2 linked regions of the Coturnix japonica genome follow. The protein of the gene in region 1 interacts with the protein of each later gene in a biochemical or structural test. Links are inferred from orthologs where the notes say so. Each region holds a gene or a part of one and is shown in the gene's direction. Other genes may lie near its edges.

Region 1 (4,169 bases):
CTGCACTGCAGTGACATCCCCTCGGAATCTTGGGCACAGAGACCTTGTGTCACAGTGTGCCTCAGTGTTGCTGGAATCAACTCCCAAGTTAATTAATATCAATGAAGAAATGTTAGGACCTCTCATTTTCAGGACGTAAGTGCACAGAATCCTCTGTCAGCAAACATGCTGAGGGTCATTTTGCACGTTGGCAAAGAGGAAACTTTATCTTGAATGTTTAAGTCTTTTCTGTATGGAAACCTGTGTCAAGGTTGTCATATGCATCTGCACGTGTGAACATAAGTGCCATACATCTGCTTTAGGAACAAATGGGACTGTGTTGAGAAAGGTTGGTTGGGCTCTGCTGAACAAACGGGCTAATTTCTATCTCTTTTAAAGATGATTTTTTTTTTGCTATTGGAGTTCTAAAGTTCCTAATGAAGTAATGGCTTCCAGTGAGGATTTCAGAAGTTGTTATTTCCCAGCTTTTTGAGCTTAAGGTCAGCTGTAGCTTTCTAGAGAGTGGTGTGGGTGCTCTGTGTGCTTCTTACTGTGCTTTAGGAAAGCAAGCAGTAACAGCACCTTCCCCATTCAGCAGTGTCCGCTGCTTTACCTCCCAGCTGATCCTGCATCAGGACAGGGTTTTTTTAGAGGCTGCTAAGTTAGGATCCCTACGTACTGTTCAGCTGCTCAGGTGCTGCCTGAAGCCTCTGCTTCATCCCCGGTTGTGTTTAAGAGCTGTTTGGGTGTGGTACTCAGGGATACGATTTAGTGTAGGGTTTTTAGAGTTAGAGTACTATGGTTATAGGGTACTATGGTTATAGAGTACTATGGTTATAGGGTACTATGGTTATAGTGTACTATGGTTATAGAGTACTATGGTTATAGGGTACTATGGTTATAGGGTACTGTGGTTATAGGGTACTGGTTAGGCTACGGTTGGACTTGATGATCTTCAAAGTCTTTTCCAACCTGGGTAATTCTATGATTCTATGATTCTTTCAGTTCCACACCAGGTGCAAAATGCAGGAAGTGTAAAAGGCTTCAGAAACGTGTTTTCTTGCTTTATGTTGCCTGGATGTTGTGTTGAGGGATATGATTTAACTGGGAAGTATTGGTGATGGTTGGACCGGATGATCTTCTAGGTCTTTTCCAACCTTGATAATTCCGTGATTCTGTGGTAAGTACCACATCATTTTTACAATACATACCAACCACGGAAGGCGGCCCTACTGCAGCCTGAGTCCTACGTCTCAGAGTTTCTTCATTGGAAAAGCTGAATTTATTGCTCCTTATCGCCTTTGTAGCCCTCACTTGACGGAAGGCGGTCGCGGCCCCTTTAAGGCCGCCTCGTACCACGTGCCTCCGGAGCCGGAAGTGCCGGCGGAGACGGCCCAGGCCCCGCGGAGGCGCCGCGCTCCGTCCGCCATGAGCCGCCCGCCGGCTCTGCAGGCGCAGACCTGCGGCCCCTGGGAGATGAAGGAGCGCCTCGGTACCGGCGGCTTCGGCAACGTCATCCGCTGGCACAACAAGGTAGGAGGCGGCCCGTCCCGTCCCGCTCCGCCGGGCCCGGCCCGACCGGCGCTCAGCCGACCCCGCGCTGTGTCCGCAGGAGACCGGCGAGCAGGTGGCCATCAAGCAGTGCCGGCAGGAGCTGAGCCCGAGGAACCGGGAGCGCTGGTCCCTGGAGATACAGATCATGAAGAGGTGAGGCAGATAAATAGAGATCGTGAAGAGGTGAGGGACATAGAGATCGTGAGGAGGTGATGGGGAGCAGCGGGGCCTGGCGCTGCGGGACGGGCCGAGTGGAGCCCAACGCCCCCGCGCTGCCGGGCCCGGCCCTGATGGGCGCGTTATAGAATGACAGAATGACTCGGGTTGGCAGGGACCTCAAGGATCATGTAGTTCCAAACCCCCCTGCCTGGCAGGGCCACCGAACATACACATTTACTAGATCAGGTTGCCCAGGAGACCCCATAGATCCCCATAGAGACACCATAGACCCCATAGAGACTCCATAGATCAGGTTGCCCATGGCCCCGTCCAACCTGGTCTTGAACACCTCCAAGGACGGAGCATCCACAACCTCCCTGGGCAGCCTGTTCCAGGGCCTAACCACGCTCCTATGAAGAACTTCCCCCTAACATCCAACCTAAATCTTCCCTCTTTTAACTTAAAACCATTTCCCCTAGTCCTGCTATTGTCAGCCCTTTCCAAGAGTTTACTCCCCTCCTGGGAGTAAGTTCCCTTCAGGTATTGAAAGGCTGCAATGAGGTCACCCCGCAACCTTCTCTTCTCCAGGCTGAACAAACCCAACTCCCTCAGCCTGTCCTCACAGGGGCATAGGCGTTATAGTAATGGCTGCACTGAGGTACGGGCAGGAGGGGCGGCTGGTCCGGCATGGAGCGAGGACGTGCTGAAGGTCTTTGTTATTCCTGAGAGCTTCGGGTCTAAGGCTTTCCTCGTAGCAGCTCTGCTGTGTTAGCATCTGCACAGGGCTGTGCTGTGGGGTTCTGGGTTGGTTAACACGGGGTGTTGGGTTGATTAGCTCTTGCTAAACAACTTGCTGGGGGGTGATACCGGCCCGGCGGGGCATTGAGCTCGTCCTGTAGCTCCATGTCACACCTGTGATACATCTGTGGCACACATAGGGTGTGCAAAGAGCTGGAATGAGTTTGTAGGCCTGTGAGGGATGGATAAATTGCAGGCTGTTAGAGCTGACTTTCAGTTTCTAAAAGCATTAATGGCCTTATAGGACTTAATGTGACAACCATGACTGTGTGAGGCTGTGCAGGTGTGGTTCTGGTGCGGTGTCCATTTGCCTTATTTCTGTTTCTCAGGCTGAACCATCCCAATGTGGTGGCTGCCCGTGATGTTCCTGAGGGAATGCAGAAGCTTGCACCGAATGATTTGCCATTGCTGGCCATGGAGTACTGCCAGGGTGGGGACCTCCGCAAGGTGAGCTCACCAGGTGCTCCTGTGAGGTGCCAGTCATTCACTCACTGTCCTCTCCTTCCCAGTGAGATGGGGGAGAGAACTGAAAGACAAAAGTGGGACTCGGTGGGTTGAGATAAAAACTATTTACTGAGTCAGAGAATAGATCATTATTATGACAAATAAGCCTGGAAGAGCCGGCCCTCAGCCCCTCATATCCTGTTCACCATCAGTTTGAGTCAGCTGTCCTAATCCTGTTCCCTCCTAGTAACTTGGGCCTTTGCTGAGAATGGCCCTTATGCTGTGCAGTACTGCTTAGCAGCAGCTATAAACGTTGGTGTGTATCAGCATTGTTTTTCTTATAGAACCAATACACGGTGTCATGCCCTGCACTCTGAAGAACGCAGTACTGTCCCAGCTGCAGCTGAGACAGGTGGTGGTGGTGAAAGGTTAAAAGCTGGATTAGCTTCCCAGCGGAATGGAACCTAGGGGCTTCTTTTTAGGAGTTTCTCTTTAAAGCATATTTTCATGTTCTGATGCTTCCTAATTCTTTATGTGATACCAAGAGGATTTTACACGTTAGTCCTTGATAAAGTTCTGAAAATCTCTAGTGCTTTCTGAGGCTTTTGACTTTTATTTGTCTGCAAGTAACAATGCAGCAATTTTGCATGTAGAAGATGAGAGCATGTGTGAAGGATATGCAACAGGATTTGGAGCACGTCCAAGACCATTGTAGCTCAAGGTGCAGGCCCTGTCTGTAATAGGAAAAAAATACAGTTACTAGTGCTGCTTCTTATCTTACTGCTTTTTTAAACCTTCGCTATAACCTGCCCATAGATGAGACCTGTAACTTACAGCTGACTTTGCTATAACCTGCCCATAGATGAGACCTGTAACTTACAGCTGACAGTGCTATAACCTGCCCATAGATGAGACCTGTAACTTACAGCTGACAGTGGAGCTGGTATTGCTAGGCTCCAGGGGAAATGCTTATGAAGGACCCAGCAAAGTTGCAGTAACACTGACTTTCCACTCTCCCTTTCTCATCCTATGGATGCACTGAGGCTTGAAGCCCTAATTATTGCTAGGAGAGGTCCCAGCTCCATGGTTTTGTCTGTAAAAAAACAAACAAATAAAAAAAAACTTAATTGTTCATGCCTGAACATCTTGTGTTTTGAGAATACGTGGGACTGCGATCCTTCAATGGGATATAGGGTGGAGAAGCTGTCATTTTGGTGTTTTCTTGCAGTACCTGA
Region 2 (3,267 bases), on another chromosome or scaffold:
AATGGTAATTAGGCATCTCAGCCTGTTCTGTGGTCCTTAGTGCACAATCACTTAAAAAGCAAGAAAAATAGCCTGACTGACATTCCAACAGGATAAGTTATAGCTTACTTGCCTTCTAACTTATAGCCTGCAATGAAGATCAAACTGATTTTTACTTGAGGGTACAGATCAACATCATTTTTCAATTACGTATTATTCATACACAGCCAGCAAAATAGATGATGTTGCACACTGTTTCACAATCACGTGCATGTCTAGACCAGCCTATATCTACTGCCTAAAAGAAAAGAAGAAAAAGTCATCGTTTCCAGAGACTTTTTTTTCTTTTTTTTCTTTAAAAAAAAAAAAAAGGAAGTTTTGGGGGTGGTAATAGAGCCATGAATGCTGACCCTCAGCAGAGCAGGTCTCTTTGAAAGCTGGTGCTGGGGCAGGTGCTTGGAGCCTCCAGTGTTTGCCAGCGCTCCTGTGCATCTGAGTCATATCAGCCATGTGCACCACGGAAGTTCACAACGCATTACTCAGAGCAGGCATGTAGCTTGGGCTCTGCCAAACCCGAGGCTACGTGAATGTCAAATTAAACATATTCATCACCAGAATGTTCTTTCTCTGTTTTTCTTTTGGGCATCCAGCAGGGAAGACTTATTAAGGCAGAACTTCATATTGTTGGGATTTCATTATATAATTCACTGACTTACAGTTTGCTTTGTTGTTACTTCAGGCATTTGAGCTTTGCTTTTCTCTCCTGCACTGGGGCCTAAGTCAGACCTCCACTCTGGGCTATACAGTGCATTCAGTCTTCCCTGGGGCTTTGTTTTTCCACGTGTCCTCACATTATAAGGTCACTACAATGTTAAATTACCTCACTGTCACGTGTGCTTCGATCCAGACTGGCTTTCCTCTACCAGAATAGCAACCCACCAGCAGCTGTGACCAAGAACAAGCTGATCTGTGTTGTACAGAGCTTCCTGATACTTTCCGCCACATGGCTACACATGCACTTCCAGAGGCGCCTACACATGCTGTAGGTTTCCAGCTTCAGCTCCTCAGAGTGCCTGTGGTGGTCTCCCTCTGTCTCCTGGTGACTTTTGTCTTGTTGTCACCCACCCTCACACCAGTCAGGGTGCTCCTGAGTCAGTTTCTGGGGAGGATACTATCCTCTGCTTTGTCACTTTGGAGAAGGTGAGAGTGTGAAGTGCAGCTTGCTGGAAACACCCAGCCCCTAACACTCCTCCTTGGGCTGCCTACTTCATCTTGTAGGTGGCTTCTCCTGTAAAAATGCAGAAGTTTGGCTGAGCTCTGCGAAGGGTTGACCTTCCGTATTTCAGTTTTTACCTCTTTGAGCTGACAATGCTTCCTATTTGGGAACAACTTTGAACTAAACTCATCAAATTCAGCTGCAAATAGAGATAGGTTTTATCTCTTTTATTTTGATTCCCCACAATGAAGTTTCAGCTTGTACTAATAACATCTATAGTACAGCTGCCAAAACAGTGTTCGTTCTTCACCTCTTAGTATTAGCATGCTTTTTTTGTTTGTTTTGTTATGTTTCAGGGTATAACTAAATATTATCACTGCTAGAGAAAGTGTATCTAAACCGTATTGGTCATGACCTATTTTTGCTTGGCTAAAAAGGAACAAGATACTTGAAAGTACATGCTAATTTGTAAAACTTGAACAAATCAGTTTTAATACTGCAATAAGGGAAATGTGAATGTATAGAATGAATCCAGCAGAGCCTGTAATAAATAGAAAATAATTGCAGGACATCAGAGAGGACAGCAAAAACAGGAGATGGTAACTTCACAGCCACGTGGAACCAGTAAGTGTTTAATCTACAAACTTTCTTGTTTTCAGCTGAGTGAAGCAGAGACAAGTAGACACAAGAAAAAGTACAAACAAGTTCTTTATTCTGCAGCTCCATTTGAGCACTCTAAAGATAGCATCAAGGACTGCATGGAAATCCCCTGGATACACTTTGTAATTTTTTCCGGTGAATCTCAGGATAGCAAATATGAAAGGCAAGGGTAAGAGAATGACCACAGCTGGTGTAGGCTGCACTTTGGTATTCCGCTTTTGCGGTGCAGACACCCAGAGTGGAATTAATCTCAGCTGTCTCTCCCTCCCCTGACTACAAGGGGCACCCAGATGACTAGCTCAGATGTAGATGTTTACACTGGTTTACAAAGGTGACATTCTGGAGTAGATGCATCCCACGCGCCATTTCTGAGGTGATGTTTCCTCTTGAAGAAAGCTATAAAATCAGGGCAATATGCAGATTGTCTTTTGCTTTGTAACTCACTAACTAATCAGATTTTGATGCTGGGCAAGCCATGAAAATACTTACAACTTATGGCAACTAATGCCTCCCGAAATCAATGGGTGGTAGGCAGTTAAATGCTTTGCATCTCTGGGGCAGTTAACCATCCATGAATATATATTTGTCTTGCGAGAAATTAGAGAAGTAACACTCACATAACTCCCCTCAATAGCTGTGAAATTTAAATAATTAATTATGACAATACTCACTGACATCCTGAAGTAAAAGGTCTGACACAAATAATTATACTTGATGTTTCAGTCTGTATTGATGATGTACTTGTTCCCCACCAACAATGCAGTTTTGGGACATATTGAGGCTAAACTTTAGACAACCTTTCATTTTTCTGAAGTTGTGTTTTCTTTCAGGTACTCCTTGGACATAGAAGAACCGAGATGAAACCTGCCCAGAGGGAGCATGTGGAACAAGATACACGTCCCTGCATTAAACAGTTACCTAAATAACAATCTCGCTATGTTACCATTTCCACAGTTATTTCAAGTGTTCAAGAAATGTATTTGAACTCCCAAATAATTCCCTGCTCAGCTCCTGTATGTTTCCAGTGTAGAAAAACAGTGTAAGTGCAGTAATATGAAGGCAGGGTTGTTTGGACCAAGTGTTAACTGCAAAACACTTGGCACTGTTACCAAGGACAATGTCTGCTCCACTTGCATTAATAATGCATTCAAAGAAACAGGCTTTTCCTTTGCAGTAGATGGAACTGCATCAGTTCTCTTTCTAACAGAGCAAAATGTTGTCAAACAACAAGATAGTGTCACAGTTCTGCACACTACTTCTAGTTGGCTACTGATCATCACATTTAGCTTCATTGAATCATAGAGATGTATGCAAGGATTTGTATCCAGCTTACACAATGAGAAGTGTTACGAATGGGGGGATATAACTGACCATTTATTTACTCTGAGGTTTTCAAAATTATCAGGGGAGAC

Evidence for each region.
Region 2: of the proteins of IKBKB (region 1) and TNFAIP3, one has a biochemical effect on the other in vitro, tested with the Homo sapiens proteins (2 studies listed by BioGRID and IntAct). The link is inferred for Coturnix japonica from reciprocal best matches to the Homo sapiens genes IKBKB and TNFAIP3.

The regions. Positions count from the first base shown.
Region 1 is NC_029537.1:4,085,702-4,089,870, forward strand, and holds the start of IKBKB (inhibitor of nuclear factor kappa-B kinase subunit beta), read left to right. Parts: upstream 1-1,345; 5' UTR 1,346-1,407; coding exon 1,408-1,512; intron 1,513-1,591; coding exon 1,592-1,686; intron 1,687-2,819; coding exon 2,820-2,937; intron 2,938-4,162; coding exon 4,163-4,169.
Region 2 is NC_029518.1:49,354,329-49,357,595, reverse strand, and holds the end of TNFAIP3 (tumor necrosis factor alpha-induced protein 3), read left to right. Parts: intron 1-1,762; coding exon 1,763-2,028; 3' UTR 2,029-2,658; downstream 2,659-3,267. UniProt on the Homo sapiens protein: Ubiquitin-editing enzyme that contains both ubiquitin ligase and deubiquitinase activities.